Linked DNA regions of Tribolium castaneum. The main gene of each other region encodes a partner of the protein of the gene in region 4 in a complex. Links are inferred from orthologs where the notes say so. Each region holds a gene or a part of one and is shown on either strand. Other genes may lie near its edges.

Region 1 (4,848 bases), on a different chromosome or scaffold from region 4:
TGACGTTGTTTGAATGATTTGTGTTATTCTAAACAACAAAAAACTTTTTGTGGCTTCACCAGTGAGGGTATTAAAGCACTGGGAAAAATATTTTTTTGTATTTCTATTAATTAATGCGCCTAAAGTCCGGTCTTTAGAGATAAGCAATGAATCATGCGTGAGGTGTTTAATTTTAGAGTTGCCGCCGCTATTGTTTTTGATCTGACGAGACCTGAGACTTTTAAATCGGTAGAAAAGGTACCAAAACCCCTAAATTGTAATTCTCTCCTCATGTTTTTTGTCTAGTGGTTGCTCGATCTGCGCAAAAAAGTGCACTTACCGGGAGGTGTTCCCGTACCTGTTGTGATTCTAGCAAATAAGGGTGATATTACGATTGCAACCCTGCCTCAAGAAATAGTGCATTTCTGCGAGAAATACAACATATTAGCGTGGTTTATCACTTCAGCGAAGGATAATGTCCACATAGGTAAAAATAAGCGTTATTCAAGCGTGGTAAGTAATCTTTTATTGCAGATGAGGCAATGTTGACTCTGATAAATGCAGCAGTGGAAAATCACGAAAATTTGCAATTTCCCGCTGCCGTAGACAATGACGTGGTCCATTTAGCAAATGAGGATACTCAGTTTTGTCAAAACAATCAAACACACTGTTGTCAAAGATGAGGCTATATTTTGTAACAAACTAACAATAACAAACACAAATAAATTATCGTTCAGGTCGGATTTTGGCCGAGTTTTTGCGCCGCCGCGATTGCATTCTCATTCGCAAGCATTTGGAACTCCTGGAATCGTTGAGAAATGCGTTGATTTACTTTGAGAAATTTTTCGAGGCAATTTAACGCACAGCGATCCTGTAATAGCAAAATAAAATGATCAGAAACCGACAGTCGTTACTTACTTCACTCCCTTTGATATTCCGAGATGTGAAATCCGAAACACAGTCCGTGAAACACAATTCGGCTAGTTTATTGTAAGAGATGAGGAAATCTTTGAACTGCAAATAAAAATTTGAGAATTGAAATTGTTGTTTTTTTGAAATTACCGTTTTAACTTGCTCTGCATCGACATTTTCGAGCCCGGCACCGGGGGGAAGTGTTACATTCATTTTAATTTAAGTTTTGTTGTGGTTTTCACCACAGAACAGAAAGGGTTAAGAAGTGATAATTCCCTAGTAAATCACTGGCAACACGAGAATCCAGCGCCTCTGGTGCTGAAGTGCGTTACTACCACGGTAAAGTGCCACGTTTGAATAAATTCCTTTTATATTGTTTTTTATTATTTTTATCTTACAAGTTTCATTGCAAATTGTTTAAAATAAAAAAATATATTTTCATTTTAAACAAAATGAAAACGTTTTATATTTATTTTAAACAAAATTTGAAATGAAACTTACAAAAAAAGTTGTTTTGGGGTAATAAAACACAGATTTTGTTAACATTTTTATTGTACACTTGAGTAACATAACAAATTAAATTTTTCAAAAAATTAAAGTATTGTATTATTTCTTAATTATACAAAAATTATAAAAAAATTAAATCAGTCAGTGTTGGCATGTTTTGCCTGTCTGCTCGAGACTTAAAACAAAATAAGGTCTGCTTTGCAATGACTTTTACCTTGTCTGTCAGCAAACAGTTGCCCACGCTACGACCACGAGGAGGTACATGCAGTGCACTGACACACTCGAGCGCAAATAAGAAACTTAAAAGTAAATTCTGAAATACCCTAAATAGCGAAAACGCCAAAATTTTGAACTTACAGGATCCTCAATTTTGCAGGCATTCCTCCACAATTCTTGAAGCTTTGGATTCTTAGGGAAGGTGAAGAAATGCTTATTGGACTGTCCTTTGTTGGGAACATAATCACTGGTGCATCCGGGGTATTTGCAGGAATATTTGCGATAACCAGCCATGACTAAAGTTCAGTTGAGTAGTAGAAATCAAAAATCCGTCACTCCAGACCAATGCCTTTAAAATAGAAAGAAACACCAATCAAAAAGATGAGGTTATATTAATAAAATAAGAGATACTTATCTTTTTGGTCGGCGCTCAACACCAGGAATTGACTCACTAACGAACTGTAATCAGAATTTTTGCTTTGATTAAACGATTAAACAAATAATTGCTACATACTTCCGGTAACACGTTGAACGATGAGTGACAAAACAACACTTTTGGCGCGATATTTTCGGTGCGATCTGCGCGCAAGCGTAGATGTCATTGTTACGTCAAAAAATATAATTTAATGAAATCCCTAATAAATACGCGCTTGTTTTAAAATAAGCAGTCGTCATTGGTCGTCCCTTTTCATCTCCCCGGGAGTGCAAAACCCCCCTCGCCTATACTCTCGTGTTGCCAATGCGCGTATCCCACTTTCACCCCCATGGTTTTCACGAGGTAAATTTGTGAGGTTATGCAAATCAGTGATTGTCACTTGACAAGAGGTGGATAAAAGAGAAAACTGCACAGGCATCCCGAACTGATATAGCCAAATCGAGCTCTCACTGACACAGCTTCCTTGATTAATGAAGGGACTTTCCCTTCACACGGCTGGCCGCATTGCTTAGTTCCTTGGCATATTTTTGTTTCTGAGAGGGAGCCACTATAAAGTAAAACAATTCTGACAGTTCTAAGGTTAAGTGTTGTCACACTGCTGTCAGTGCAGAAGATTTCTAAGGCAAAACGCATTAGTTTTAGCTATATAGTTGTAGAAAACGTATTCTACAAACATTTGGCACGTGTTTTTACTATGAGGAACCAAAAGCGCATGTTGCCATGTGAGCGACCAAGAGCATATGCCAAGAGCGAACTGCGAAACACAAAACGAACGTAAAAAGCATCATACAAACTTGAACATTTTGCCGAATGGTAAACAAACATTTTTATGCTCACGAAAATGATCAAAAGAGTGTTGGAACGCATTTGCAACCAACTGTACAAAATGTAATTAGTGTCCAAATGCTTTGCATTTCAAATTTAGATTAAAACTTGTGGAAAAAAATTAAACTAAGCTTTGTCTTGCCTTCCTGTTAGCAAAATTTTGTATAAATCTTGTGCAAAAGAGGTTGAAAACTTAAATTTGTAAAAAATATGACGGCTGTCACGTTTGAAACCAAGTGAATTTTTCAGCAGCAACTAATAGATGGCGCTACAATAAAGTAAGCTCTCAAAAAACACTTTTTTTGTTCAATGCGACCAGCCGTGTAAAGGGTACCTCCCTTCACTAATCAAGGAAGCTGTGCTCACTGAATTAGGTTTTACTGATGATGCGGATAGATGGCCTTAGTGTTTTACGGGAAAAAAAAATCCTATTGGCGGATTTAAAATTTCAGATTATTGAAGAAAAACGTGGTGCCGATGCGCGGCTGACAAGTAAAAATTTCACAAACGTCACAAATTTCACAAATTTGAGTTTTATGAAATTATTAGTTAGTGAAATAAATAAATACGACACCTTCACCTACCTTCATATCGCTTCCACGTTGGCTACCGTTTGTAGCATTAAAAAAAATTAAAAACAACACCAATAAAAAATCTTTATTTGCATGAAAATTACAACAAGCGACATAATTTTACGGCTGTAAAAAACAGTCAACAATGTTATATTTAAGGATTGCTCTAATTGGTCAAATTAGTCAATAACTAATTTGTCCGGCAAGAACCACGTGGAGGTTTAGAGCATTCTTGCCAGGAAAAATGGATATAAGGATGAGGTAAACAATGATTACTTCAAATGAAGGGAATAAAGGAATTATTGGTTTGTGAAATGAAAAAATAGTACACAAAAATCAAAGCTTTTTCACTTGGCGTTAAATAAATGCTCTTACCTTTATACTGCATCTGCTACCATTTGTAGCAAAACCTAAAAAATAAATTAAAAACACAACCAACAAAAAAATTAATTTGTAGGAAAGTTACAACAAGCGACTTTAATAAATATTATACAGAATAAAGAATACACAATACGGTATAATATATGGCACACAAGCTATTAAATCAACACATCACAAGATAAAACGCAAAAAAATGCACCTACCTTCATATGGCTTCTGCGTTGGCTACTGTTTGTAGCATTAAAAAAAATAATAATAAAAATGAAACCAAAATAAAATGTTTATTTGCATTAAATTTTGAGCAAGCCACTTTCATTCATTGAAATTAAAGGCAAAATTTCGTGGCAATAAATTATTTGAGTGGTTTATTTTATTTATAGTTACTGTATTTAAAATGTGTCACTCAAAACATCACTTTTCAATACCGCATTTAAAGATTTTAATTGCAATTAAGTTTTATGAAATTATTGGTTTGTGAAATAAATAAATACGACACAGCAATAAAATACACCTACCTTCATATCGCTTCCACGTTGGCTACCGTTTGTAGCATTAAAAAAAATAATAATAAAAATGAAACCAAAAAAAAATAATAATAAAAATGAAACCAAAAAAAATGTTTATTTGCATTAAATTTTGAGCAAGCCACTTTCATTCATTGAAATTAAAGGCAAAATTTCGTGGCAATAAATTATTTGAGTGGTTTATTTTATTTATAGTTACTGTATTTAAAATGTGTCACTCAAAATATCACTTTTCAATTCCGCATTTAAAGATTTTAATTGCAATTAAGTTTTATGAAATTATTGGTTTGTGAAATAAATAAATACGACACAGCAATAAAATACACCTACCTTCATATCGCTTCCACGTTGGCTACTGTTTGTAGCATTAAAAAAAATAATAATAAAAATGAAACCAAAAAAAATGTTTATTTGCATTAAATTTTGAGCAAGCCACTTTCATTCATTGAAATTAAAGGCAAAATTTCGTGGCAATAAATTATTTGAGTGGTTTATT
Region 2 (3,021 bases), on a different chromosome or scaffold from region 4:
AGCAAATTGCTGCTAAATGCAAAAATTGGTAAAATTTTAAAAAATTTATAACTAAAAAACTATTGGGAATTTGGCAATTTTCTCGATGCCAATCGATTCCCCGGATCATTTTGCATTGGTATGGATCGAAACAGTTCCACTTTTTAGAATAGTTTATCCGTAAATGAGAAAATAAAAAAAATTAAAATAAAGTTAACACCCCCCCCTTAAAATCGGTCAATTTTTAAAGTGTTTTAAAATCAAATAAAACCAATTTTATCTTATAGATTTTGATGTGCTCTTTACGATGTAACAAACCGTTTTCTTCTAGCTCTTTTAGTTTGGCCGTAATCGGCGTTTGAAAATTGAAAAATTTTTTGCGAGATATCGCCTTGAGTCCTATGCCATTTTGTAGAGTTTTTTATTCCGGTTGTTCTCCATTTTTCCGTTTCTCGATATCTTTAATAGTTTCGCCGTAATTGGCAGTTGAAAATTGGAAAAAATTGAAAATGGAAACTTTTTTTGGCGTTTTTCTCGGAAACTGTAAGACTTAGAGCAACGAACAAAAAACCATCTGATAGCGCTTAATTTTATCTATTTTTTCGACCAAACCCGGAGCCGCTCCGGGCAACGGTTCCGGCTACAGAGGCGATCAAAGTTTTTCACTAAAAAAATTCATAAAAAAAAAACTAAAAGTCGTAGAGAATTCCGGTTTGTTCCACTGAATTCTACGGCTCATTTTACATATTATATCGATTTTTCACAAGAATTAAAAATTTAAAATTTTTTGCCTAAATTTAGGGTAGCCATTTGTCATACTGAAAAATTTTATTCATTAAAAAAATTCATAACTCAAAAACTAAAAGTCGTAGAGCAATGCGGTTTGTTCCATTGAATTCAGCGGTTTATTTTCTGTATTATACCAACTTTTCACGAGATTTAAAATTTTAATTTTTTTGCCCAAATTTCCTGAGTAAAATACAGTACCTTCAAAAAGTTGAAAAAAAAAATTTTTTTAAACTAACTTCAGCAAATTTTTATGGACTTCTACATGTCTTAACAACCCACTAAAGTTGTTAAAAGTCCACAAAAAGTCCAAATGTTCGATTTTTTGATGTTTGATTTTTTCAATTTTCGTCGCAGTTTTTGTCGATTTTGGGTACCCGGAACATTTGTCGAGCAATAGCTCCGGAACTATTAGAGATAACCCCATGATGTGTATTATTGTTGGAAAGCTCTTTAAATTATCTATTTTTTTCAAAAAATATTATTGTTCTCCGACTAATAGTTTTCGAGCAAATTGCTGCTAAATGCAAAAATCAAATTTCAACTGACCAAGGGTTAGGGCAAACTAAAATAGATCTCTACTGTGATTTCTATTAGATTTGTTGTAAACCATCCCTTAAATAAATGGAAATCACGTGTAAACTAGACTTTTTGTGCTTCCATAACGCAACGAACGTACACGCAACGTAACCGCAAAAGTCCATGTGAGCATAACCACAATTTTAAAAATTCACGATTTTTGATATTTTTAACAACTCCTAGTTTGTTAAATAATGAGTTAAGGCATTGGTGGAAGTATGCGCTTAGGGACACATGCAAAAATAGGAATTGGATGGTAAGTTCCAAAAGTAGGCAACGACTGACCATAACCTCACTTTCGCACCGAAAAATCGTTTTATTGCAATAATTTGTCGGTTCGCAGGACCATATGTACAACGTTTGGTATTTACTTGTTCTACTTGTCCAAATCCAGTGTTGAGAAAAGGCGTTATGATAATATGAAAATAAGGGAACGCATGCGACTCTCGAACGTTGGTGATTACGAATTGGGTCCTCGTCACACTCCTCGAACTTAATTATCGTTAATAACGCGTCACATTTGCACGGAATTGAAATGGCAGAGAGTGACGCTCAAAAGTTGCAGTTGATGCAAGAATTGGAAATCGAAATGATGGCAGACATGTACAACCGTCTAACTACAGCATGCCACAAAAAGTGCATTCCTCCCGTTTACAACGACGCGGAAATTGCCAAAGGCGAAGCCGTTTGCATTGATAGATGTGTGGCCAAATTTCTAGACATCCATGAACGCATTGGCAAGAAACTTGGCCAACTTTCAATGCAAGACGAGCAACTTCTTAAGAAATAATTGGAGCGCCCCGTAGTTGGACTTAGTTATGTTTTGTTTTTGTTTGTAATTTAATTTTGTAATGTTGGTTTATTCTAGAGGTAATAAACTTGACTAGACAAAGTGTAGTTTTTATTTTTAATTAATCAATGCTTAAAACACTTTTCTTCGACTTGACTGCTTCAGTGGTTTGGAAGTGAGCCGCTGTTCGCTTCCTGATATCGTCCACACTGTCCTCACTTGAGGCCCACTCGAGAACTAGTCTCCGACCGTACAAGTGGGTACTTTGACACAAAGCCTCAAATGCATTCTAAAAAAATAATTATGCTAACAAGTTACAATTAATAATTAATTCACCTTGGCATCAGAGGCTGCCACAAAATCGACAAACGCAAAACCTCGATGTGAGCCCCCATCCAAGGCCATTTTCTTTGGGAGCCTTAACGCTTTAATTTCGCCAAAAACACTAAAACAATTAATTAAGTCATGTTAGTAGTACAATTAAATTTTAATAAAATGCCTAAAAAGTTCCCTAATTTCCTTCTGGTTAGCCTGGAATGGGATATTTCGAACCAAAATCTTGGTTCCTGTTTGTTTCGTTGCTTTGGTGCTTTTTTTAACAACTTTGACCTCGTTGCTAAAATTTAGTAAAATAAGATTAAGCGGAAATAAATTGGACAAGAACAAACTTCAACGTCCGTTCAGATCTCTTCAATTCTAGGGATTTGCCGTCTAGAGTGCTCTGCTGAAGGGTTTTGAGAGCCTTATCAGCGCTGCTTTTATGTATAAACCTAACAAAGCCATATCCCATGGATAGACGTTTACTTGGGTCGTTTTTGTCTTTTTTAGTTGCAACGCTGGCGTACGCAAGTTTGCCACAACTTTCAAAATGCTACAAAAAACATCTA
Region 3 (4,048 bases), on a different chromosome or scaffold from region 4:
TCTCGTCGTTTGTACATCATGACTTTAGGCTGTTTGTACCCTTACCGTAGACTTGGAATAGGTACATTAATGGTCCAACATGTCTTATATTACGTGGAACAGGATGGCAATTTTGATAGCATATTCCTGTAAGAGTTTTTTTTTATATTAAACCCAATAACACGTTCTTTTAGCCACGTGCAAGTAAACAACGAAGGAGCGATTGATTTCTACAAAAAATTCGGTTTCGAAATCGTCGAAACTAAAGAACATTACTACAAAAGAATAGAACCGGCAGACGCTCACGTTTTACAAAAAACTCTGAGGAAAAAAGGACAAAGCAACGGAAACGCTGAGTAAAACACATTGCATGATTGATTTTTTTGTTACAGTATTTTTTAATTTCAAACACATTGTATAATTGTTTAATAAAGTCATCGTTTGCGTTAAATCTGTTTATCTGCAACCACATGCCGAAATTACCATTTCGTCGTAAAACTTGATCATAACATTGCCAAATCTATCGTAAAACATTATAGGGAGAGGAGCGTATTTTGTGGGGCCACAACAGGGACTTTTACGCCCCAGTTCAGGAAAGAAATTTGTGGTTTTGTGATGGTTTGGTAAGTGGTGGGTTTGATAACACGTGCCGTGGCAATTGTAGGCGTTATAACCAGCTGGTGATATAATAAATTTCATCCAGTTGAGTTTTTGGAAGTCGACGTATAAATCATGTCTTCTGCAAGCGTTACTTTCGGTAATTTCATCATTTGTTCCTACAATACAATAAACATACAGGGTTGGGCGAAAATATGGAGCCAAGTGTTTTGTGCCTAAATTATGTAACTTAGAAAAAATAACTTACCATCACTTCTCGGCGATTCTGATTTTAATATAAGAAAAGTCCTAAACGCGTTTCTATTACTGTCGTTAAAAAGATTAAATTGTTCGTCGTTTGGTTTCGAAATTGTGATAAATATCGACAAATCCGTTGTTTTTTTTATCCAATTATGCAACGATTTGGTTAATTTAAACACCTGGCGATGATTTAAGTGTTGAATGAAAATTCAATATAATTGTTACCTGCCAGCCACTTTCAGCTTGATAAATGTAAATCACATTGAGCAGTTTGTGTGAATCTGGATTTATCAAAGCCGTTTCATTGATATCATTTTCGACTTGATAAAGGCGCAAAATTAGCGATTTTTGTGTCAAATTGGCCTCAACTTTGTGGTAGAAATGTAACTCAACCTCCGCAACGTCCAATTTACTCGAATTAAATTTGATTATGGTTGAATTTAGCGGATTTGCGTTGAAGAGAATGTGAACAGGAGCTGCCACATTTTGCGAATATGCTTCGTAATATTTGTAAATGTATGATGGTAGTTTATTTCGGGTGATGTTGGTCCAATTGTAGTTCCATTCGGAGTCTAAAAGTGGGTGAATGTAGGGTTTAGTGCCCTAAAACAATTTTTTTTCTAATTTACTAGTACTACAACATTATTATTACATTCGTATTTGTGGCAGTTTTACGTGTGACGTTCCTATTATTCCTGAGTTCACTTATTTGAATTGCGGGATAATTCGTTTGATTAAAATTGACACGATTCCGAACCATGAACTCATTTGTAGTTTTATTCAAATTAAAATAATACGTTTTGGCTTCGATTTGGGCTAAAACAAGGAACAAGACCACAGTTATCAACCGCATTTTTCACACAAACTAAATAATTTACCAATTACGACGCCTAACAATCCAGGAAATTGCAAATTCTCTAATTTACGGCAATTTTCAAATTACGCGCCGTCTTGTCCTTGAACCATTCCATTAGTCAAATTTGAGGTTATGCTAATAAATTTAAACAAAACATGACTTTTGTACTAAAAACGGCAAAAACTTTACGCAATCATTGGAAGAAGTCAACGTTTGCAGCCGTGGCCCTACTGTACGGCTTTGAATACGCCAAGGAACGTTTCGAGTGAGTGACATAACCTCACATTAGCCCCCTCAAATTTTATGTTAGGACCCAAGAATTGATGCGTGTTTATTGCGAAAAGGCGGCAAGATTTGGTCTTGAACCAATTCGTGTGGAGGCTGACCCCCGTAACGTTACGGTAATTCTCAACCCCAATGCCAATAAGCGTAAAGCTGGTGATGAATTTGAGAAATATTGCGCCCCCCTGTTGCATTTGGCTGGAATTTGTGTCAATGTTGTTAGGACAGAGTCAGAGGGGCACGCCAGGACTCTTATCAATGATTTAAACGGGACTGATGCTGTGGTTGTGGCTGGGGGCGATGGGACTGTCTCTGAGGTGATAACGGGGCTTTTGAGGCGTACGCAGGAAAACACCAACGGTTTGATTCCAATAGGTTTGTGTTAGTGGGTTTTTGGTGAAAATAATAAAGGTTTGAAGGTGTCTTGCCTTTGGGTAAAACAAATTCTGTTGCTAAAATTTTGTTTCCTTGTGGGAGTCATTTGGAGAAGGTTCGCTCGTTGGCTGATGCCACAATGGCAGTTGTTGAAGAGGTTGTGAAACCTATTAATGTGTTAAAAGTTGAGGTGTTGGAAAATGAAAACAAACCGATTTATGCAGTTTCTGGGATCAAATGGGGGGCTTACAGAGACGCGGAAACTAAAAGAGACAGTTACTGGCTTTATGGCAAATTTCGTAATTATGTGACTTACTTATTTAACGGATTAAGAAATAACTTGTCTTGGAATTGTTCAGCTGAACTTAATTACACACCACCTTGTTCAGGTTGTTCAAATTGTGCGAAACAGTCACAACAACAAAAAAAGTGGTTCCAGAGGTAAGTGGCATTTGTAACTTATTACAAATAATAAAAAAAGTAATTGAATACAAAGTAATCAGATTATATTGTTATTACTTTAATTACATTATAATCTGATTAGACCCCACTTTGGTAAGTGGTACTTACTTTTTGTACAATTATTTAGATTTGCCAAAGACCAAAAGCCGGGTTTTTCGAATATTATTAATCCGGAATGTCAGATGATTTATCAAAAGTATATTTCAACGGTTGATTTTAATCTAGAAGTTGAAAGTGAACAAGTCCCGAAATTGGTGGTCAATGTTGGTCCGAAAAGTGTCAATTATTTCGATTTTGTTAAAGAAGGATGGAAGTCGGAAAAAGGAGAAAAAAGAAAAGTGAGGGAAATAATTGAGGCGAGATCTGTGGAAATTCAACCGAAAATCAATCAAAATGAGGAGAAATGGTTTTCCATTGATAATGAAAATTATGAGCTGAAACCGGTCAGAGTTACGCTATTACCGAAATTAATTAATGTGTTTTGTAAAAAAGAAAATTTGTAAATAAAATAATTAAACTGCCCAAATTGGTTTTCTTTTAACATTTACAAATCGTTAAAAATAAGGTTGAAAGCCGCCGTTTTGATGTAAATTTATTTAAATAACAAAGAAATTAGGAATTCATAGATCGCATAATTTTACACTATCATCATATTTTCTACATTGCTGAGAATCATTGCATTTTTTCCGTCAACTAAATCGTGAATGATTAATTGTAACTGCACATGACGTAAATAAATAAGTGTATCGATAAATACAGTTCTAGTGATTATTCATTAAGTTAAGTATTTACAAAACAACTCTCGAGTTGTTTTTCAGTGCGTTATCTTTAGTCAACCGTTTGCCAAATTATATAAAATCGTACTGAACAAACAACTCTCAAGCTTCATGTACAAACTGGTATTATATTTTGAACACATTTACCACTGTACTTGCGGTAGTGGATTGGTATGGCCCTGGCTTGGAAATTACTTTTTTTTTCTTTCTTCTTGAGGTATGTTTACAACCAAACGGAATCACTTGGTTCAATACTGCTGTACTAAATCTAGTTACACTTGATTGACAAAAAAATAAACTAAAAAACAAAACAAATGATCTGGTGTTAAACAACCAGAGCCAACTTGCATACAGTTAACGGTAAATCATAGGAAACATGTATACATATGTGGTTACTCGCTAGAATTAATCATTAATATTTAAATACTAGGCATAAATTACTTTATCCTCATTTTTAACT
Region 4 (3,438 bases):
ACTGTCAGTGTCGAATTTCCTGATGATTGTTTCAATAAGCGTGGTCCTGGGAGCGACAAGCCCTCTTCGCACCGGCATATCAACAACTACAATGCACACTCGATGATCATTTTTTCGTTAGGAAAAATTCATAGAAACACCAAAAATAAGGCATCCATAAGGCAAATTCAGCGGTTTAAATATAAAATCGCGGCTATTTGTAGCGCTTTAAAAATAAACGCCTTGCACGAAAAATCCGGCGATTTTCACCAAAAGACGACCAAATCTATACGAATTTCGGTAAAAATACACCCCCGAGGGTGCGCGCGCATTGCACTCGAGATTTTCGCGACATTGGCGCGCCTCGAAGCTCAGTGTCATTCAACTGAGCTTTCGCAGGTGGCAGGAATCGGCGCCAGCAGGAAAATCCCGCACTTGCGCACGATTTTGTTGATGTTCGAGGGGTAATAACACGAAATTGAACGATCAAATTTGCAACGGTAGGCAACACGGAATGCGGGCTAATTTTACATCACAGGCGGAAGTGTATTTTTAAATTTTATGGCCGAGGAGAGACAAGTTTTCGGACAAGTTATAGCCGACCAAATGTGCGCAAAATCGACCCACAAACACTACGAAAATGTCCAGAAAATTTCAGACAAATCGGGCCGTAATTAGCTGATGTATTGAGATGCCAAGAAAAGGGGAAAAATGCAAAATCTTGTAAAAAATTATTTTCAAACTCTAAAACTGTGGCAATTACGGGATCATTTTGTACACATTAAGGACTTCCTATGCCATCTATTTCCAGAGTAGTGTTTCACTTTCAATTTTTTTGGTCATAATAACTCAATAAATCCAACGTGTAAAGTTTAAAAAAGGCGAATTGGTTCAAGTTACTGCTACACCACTTTCTAGAAATTATTTTTGTTTTTCTTTAATAACTTTGAAACGGGGTAATCATTTTAAATGATTTGCTATCAGATATTCGACAAAATTTTATTTGTATCTTAGAAGTTTCAGCCAAATAGAGACAAAATTATCTGATATAATAATAATAATAATAATAATAATAATAATAATAATAATAATAATAATAATAATAATAATAATAATAATAATAATAATAATAATTAAACCCATCTTTGCGAAATAATTGTACAATAAAGTACAAAATACATGTTTTTAACTCGGATTTTTTTAATTAAAAATCGAATTTTGTTACTTGACGCAATATAAAAAACTATTTTACTAAATAATCTTCGAGGAAATGTTCGATTTCTGATCACCAAAGTACGTATTACAATTTTTTGTGTTGAAAAAGCGACAAAATGGCCGACAAATAAAGTCAAAATACAATTATTCTTTTAATAAAATTCTTTTTATAAATTATTTTTGATCTATTTTTTTACGTAATAAAAATAATCTATGAGCTTATTTAACGTAATTATTTTATACTTTAAACTTAATAAAAAAATTGGCTTATAGAGACGAGTGCCACCTTCCGGTGTCAATTGGTACCTAGCAAATTCCAAAACAATGTTCCTAGAAATAAAGTAGCAAAGTAGTTCTTATATTACGATCCAAATCATATTTATTTACATACAAATCCCTTAGTATGTATTTCTTAATAATATCAATCCCAAATAACTGTTTCTGAATCTAATTTTTCAAAAAATGTTTTCTGTAATTCTATAGATGTTCTGTAGTAATGGTTTGTATCGCGGCTAAATTCCCACCCGGTCAAATTTAAGGTTATATTCGTAAATTATCTAGAAAACATCCCCCAAAGCCCACTTTTTCCAGTCACATGCGCCCCCAACCCTAAAAAATCACCCCCGTGACAAAGTTTTATAAAGTGAGTCATGTCCCAATCCGACACAAAACGGGCCCTCACCCCCGAAGAATGGTCCTTCCTCACGCACTATTTCGTGGGCAACGACCACCGCTACCGCGAAAACATCATAATCCCCCGCACCCTAGGCCCCGTCCAAATCAAAAGCAATGAAGAAAAACGCGTGGAAGCCTTCTTCGAAAGTTGCCCCTTCAAATCGCTCATGAGCTGCGTCATGGGCTACGGTCTGGGGGCTGCCATCGGTCTGTTCTCAAGTAGCGTGGGGCCCACGGCCACCAACGTGGAGCAACAAACGGCGAGACAAGTCTTCCAAGAAATGAAAAGCACAACGCTGAGTTATGCTAAGAATTTTGCCATGATTGGGGCCCTGTTTTCGGCAGTGGAGTGCAGCATTGAGACGGTGATTTAGAAAAATTGTTGATTTTATGGGGTTATTGGGGTTGTTGTTGCAGATGAGGGGGAAATCCGATTGGAAGAACGGGACGTACGCGGGGGCTGTCACAGGGGGGCTCATTGGGCTAAGGGCTGGGGTTAAGGCGGGCGTTCTGGGGGCGGCGGGATTTGCGGCGTTCTCGACCGCCATTGACTATTACATGCATTCAAGGTTTTAAATTAGTTAGGTAAATTAGTTTTGTAAATATTTAAAATTGTAAAATAAATAAATAATAAAATGACACGAAGTATAAATCTATAACCCAACTCCATTTCCCGAACCATTAATTTTCCTAAAGAGATTGAAAAAATATTATATACACTTTGAGACACTCGCTACGCTCGTGGCATAATTCAAGTAAAAGTTTCAAAATAGTGGTACCTTTGGAAAAAAATATATGAGGCTCTCTGATTTAAAAAGCCGATTTTTTGTTTAGTAATTTAATAGATAATGAGTGCACATAATGCATATTAGAAAGCCCTCCTTGTGTAACAAATTAAATCCATACAGCAGCAGATCGCCGTTTCGCCGAAATTCCGTTTATATAAGTCCAAGTTTACTTTCACCAGAGTTCAAACGCCAATTGTTACGTTTAAAATTGCATAATCTTTGACATTACTAATAATTTTGTAACAAGCCGGCCATAAACAAATATCAACACACGTTTTTATTTCCTAATGACTTGTCCTTGAACGTTGCAGTTTCAAGCGAACAAAACAATAAAACTTACTATTTGCTTGACCAATATTTATTTACACGAAAAAAAATTAAACCTTCTTAGAAATAATAAAATATAATTAATTAAAAATATTTACTATTATTTCGCCCATTGGCGATTATTTCACCAAAAAATGGGTAGGATCGTAAAATCAATTTCCAAATTGGCGTGAAATTTTCACGTTGATATTGGTATTATTTCGTCCGAATAGTCGGAAATACCACTGCACTTTCTGTTTTCGGGAGGTGTATCATAAATGCTGCCGGTACAAGATTCTTCCATTTCTTGTCGAAAACGCGCGAGTGAAAGTGCTAGAAACACGCGCTAAAACGCTTTTTTTTCGATTCACAAACTGTAAGTAGACTTTATTATATCATCGGCGGCTTCCACGGCGAAAAAAAACACAATTTCAGGGCTAGTTGCACATTTTATAACAAAATTATCGAAAAAAAT

What was found.
Region 1: the proteins of mitochondrial import inner membrane translocase subunit Tim22 (region 4) and Tim9a are in contact, whole or in part, in a cryo-EM structure (PDB 7CGP), measured with the Homo sapiens proteins. The link is inferred for Tribolium castaneum from reciprocal best matches to the Homo sapiens genes TIMM22 and TIMM9. Residues at the interface, in NP_037469.2 of Homo sapiens: Asp35, Arg37, Gln38, Pro39, Arg40, Leu42, Gly45, Ser46, Leu47, Gly49, Ile50, Ser52, Pro53, Lys60; in NP_001291414.1 of Homo sapiens: Gln13, Glu16, Phe17, Thr20, Leu57, Thr60, Gln61, Met65, Phe67, His71, Gln74, Asn75, Leu78, Lys81.
Region 2: the proteins of mitochondrial import inner membrane translocase subunit Tim22 (region 4) and Tim10 are in contact, whole or in part, in a cryo-EM structure (PDB 7CGP), measured with the Homo sapiens proteins. The link is inferred for Tribolium castaneum from reciprocal best matches to the Homo sapiens genes TIMM22 and TIMM10. Residues at the interface, in NP_037469.2 of Homo sapiens: Tyr25, Ser26, Leu28, Leu29, Gln30, Tyr31, Leu32, Val33, Arg40, Leu42, Leu47, Gly48, Glu67, Glu144, Ser145, Tyr146, Gly148, Ser150; in NP_036588.1 of Homo sapiens: Pro3, Ala6, Gln7, Leu9, Ala10, Ala11, Leu13, Glu14, Val15, Met17, Met18, Ala19, Tyr22, Ser44, Lys45, Gly46, Glu47, Arg53, His62, Glu63, Gly66, Leu69, Thr70, Ser73, Met74.
Region 3: mitochondrial import inner membrane translocase subunit Tim22 (region 4) and Mulk share a complex: the UniProt entries of both Homo sapiens proteins name them as parts of the TIM22 complex. The link is inferred for Tribolium castaneum from reciprocal best matches to the Homo sapiens genes TIMM22 and AGK.

The regions. Positions count from the first base shown.
Region 1 is NC_087402.1:6,646,274-6,651,121, reverse strand, and holds Tim9a (mitochondrial import inner membrane translocase subunit Tim9), read right to left. Parts: upstream 3,185-4,848; 5' UTR 2,390-3,184; intron 2,118-2,389; exon of another isoform or gene 1,758-2,117; intron 1,705-1,757; exon of another isoform or gene 1,237-1,704; intron 1,134-1,236; 5' UTR 1,105-1,133; coding exon 1,042-1,104; intron 994-1,041; coding exon 898-993; intron 882-897; exon of another isoform or gene 851-881; coding exon 713-850; 3' UTR 663-712; downstream 1-662. Other genes in the region: ras-related protein Rab-32, read left to right, coding at 177-237, 286-466, 514-662. UniProt on the Homo sapiens protein: Mitochondrial intermembrane chaperone that participates in the import and insertion of multi-pass transmembrane proteins into the mitochondrial inner membrane.
Region 2 is NC_087394.1:33,996,934-33,999,954, reverse strand, and holds Tim10 (mitochondrial import inner membrane translocase subunit Tim10), read left to right. Parts: upstream 1-1,739; 5' UTR 1,740-1,879; coding exon 1,880-2,134; 3' UTR 2,135-2,236; downstream 2,237-3,021. Other genes in the region: probable RNA-binding protein 19, read right to left, coding at 2,256-2,423, 2,471-2,579, 2,634-2,750, 2,803-3,005.
Region 3 is NC_087402.1:192,793-196,840, reverse strand, and holds Mulk (acylglycerol kinase, mitochondrial), read left to right. Parts: upstream 1-1,821; 5' UTR 1,822-1,848; coding exon 1,849-1,958; intron 1,959-1,977; coding exon of another isoform or gene 1,978-2,003; coding exon 2,004-2,350; intron 2,351-2,394; coding exon 2,395-2,791; intron 2,792-2,939; coding exon 2,940-3,315; 3' UTR 3,316-3,338; downstream 3,339-4,048. Other genes in the region: probable N-acetyltransferase san, read left to right, coding at 1-128, 174-339; derriere protein, read right to left, coding at 436-755, 845-1,016, 1,063-1,440, 1,490-1,690; E3 ubiquitin-protein ligase TRIM33, read right to left, coding at 1,978-2,173. UniProt on the Homo sapiens protein: Lipid kinase that can phosphorylate both monoacylglycerol and diacylglycerol to form lysophosphatidic acid (LPA) and phosphatidic acid (PA), respectively. Does not phosphorylate sphingosine. Phosphorylates ceramide.
Region 4 is NC_087401.1:15,999,210-16,002,647, forward strand, and holds mitochondrial import inner membrane translocase subunit Tim22, read left to right. Parts: upstream 1-1,605; 5' UTR 1,606-1,733; exon of another isoform or gene 1,734-1,785; 5' UTR 1,786-1,844; coding exon 1,845-2,234; intron 2,235-2,286; coding exon 2,287-2,445; 3' UTR 2,446-2,510; downstream 2,511-3,438. Other genes in the region: potassium voltage-gated channel subfamily H member 6, read right to left, coding at 3-78. UniProt on the Homo sapiens protein: Essential core component of the TIM22 complex, a complex that mediates the import and insertion of multi-pass transmembrane proteins into the mitochondrial inner membrane. In the TIM22 complex, it constitutes the voltage-activated and signal-gated channel.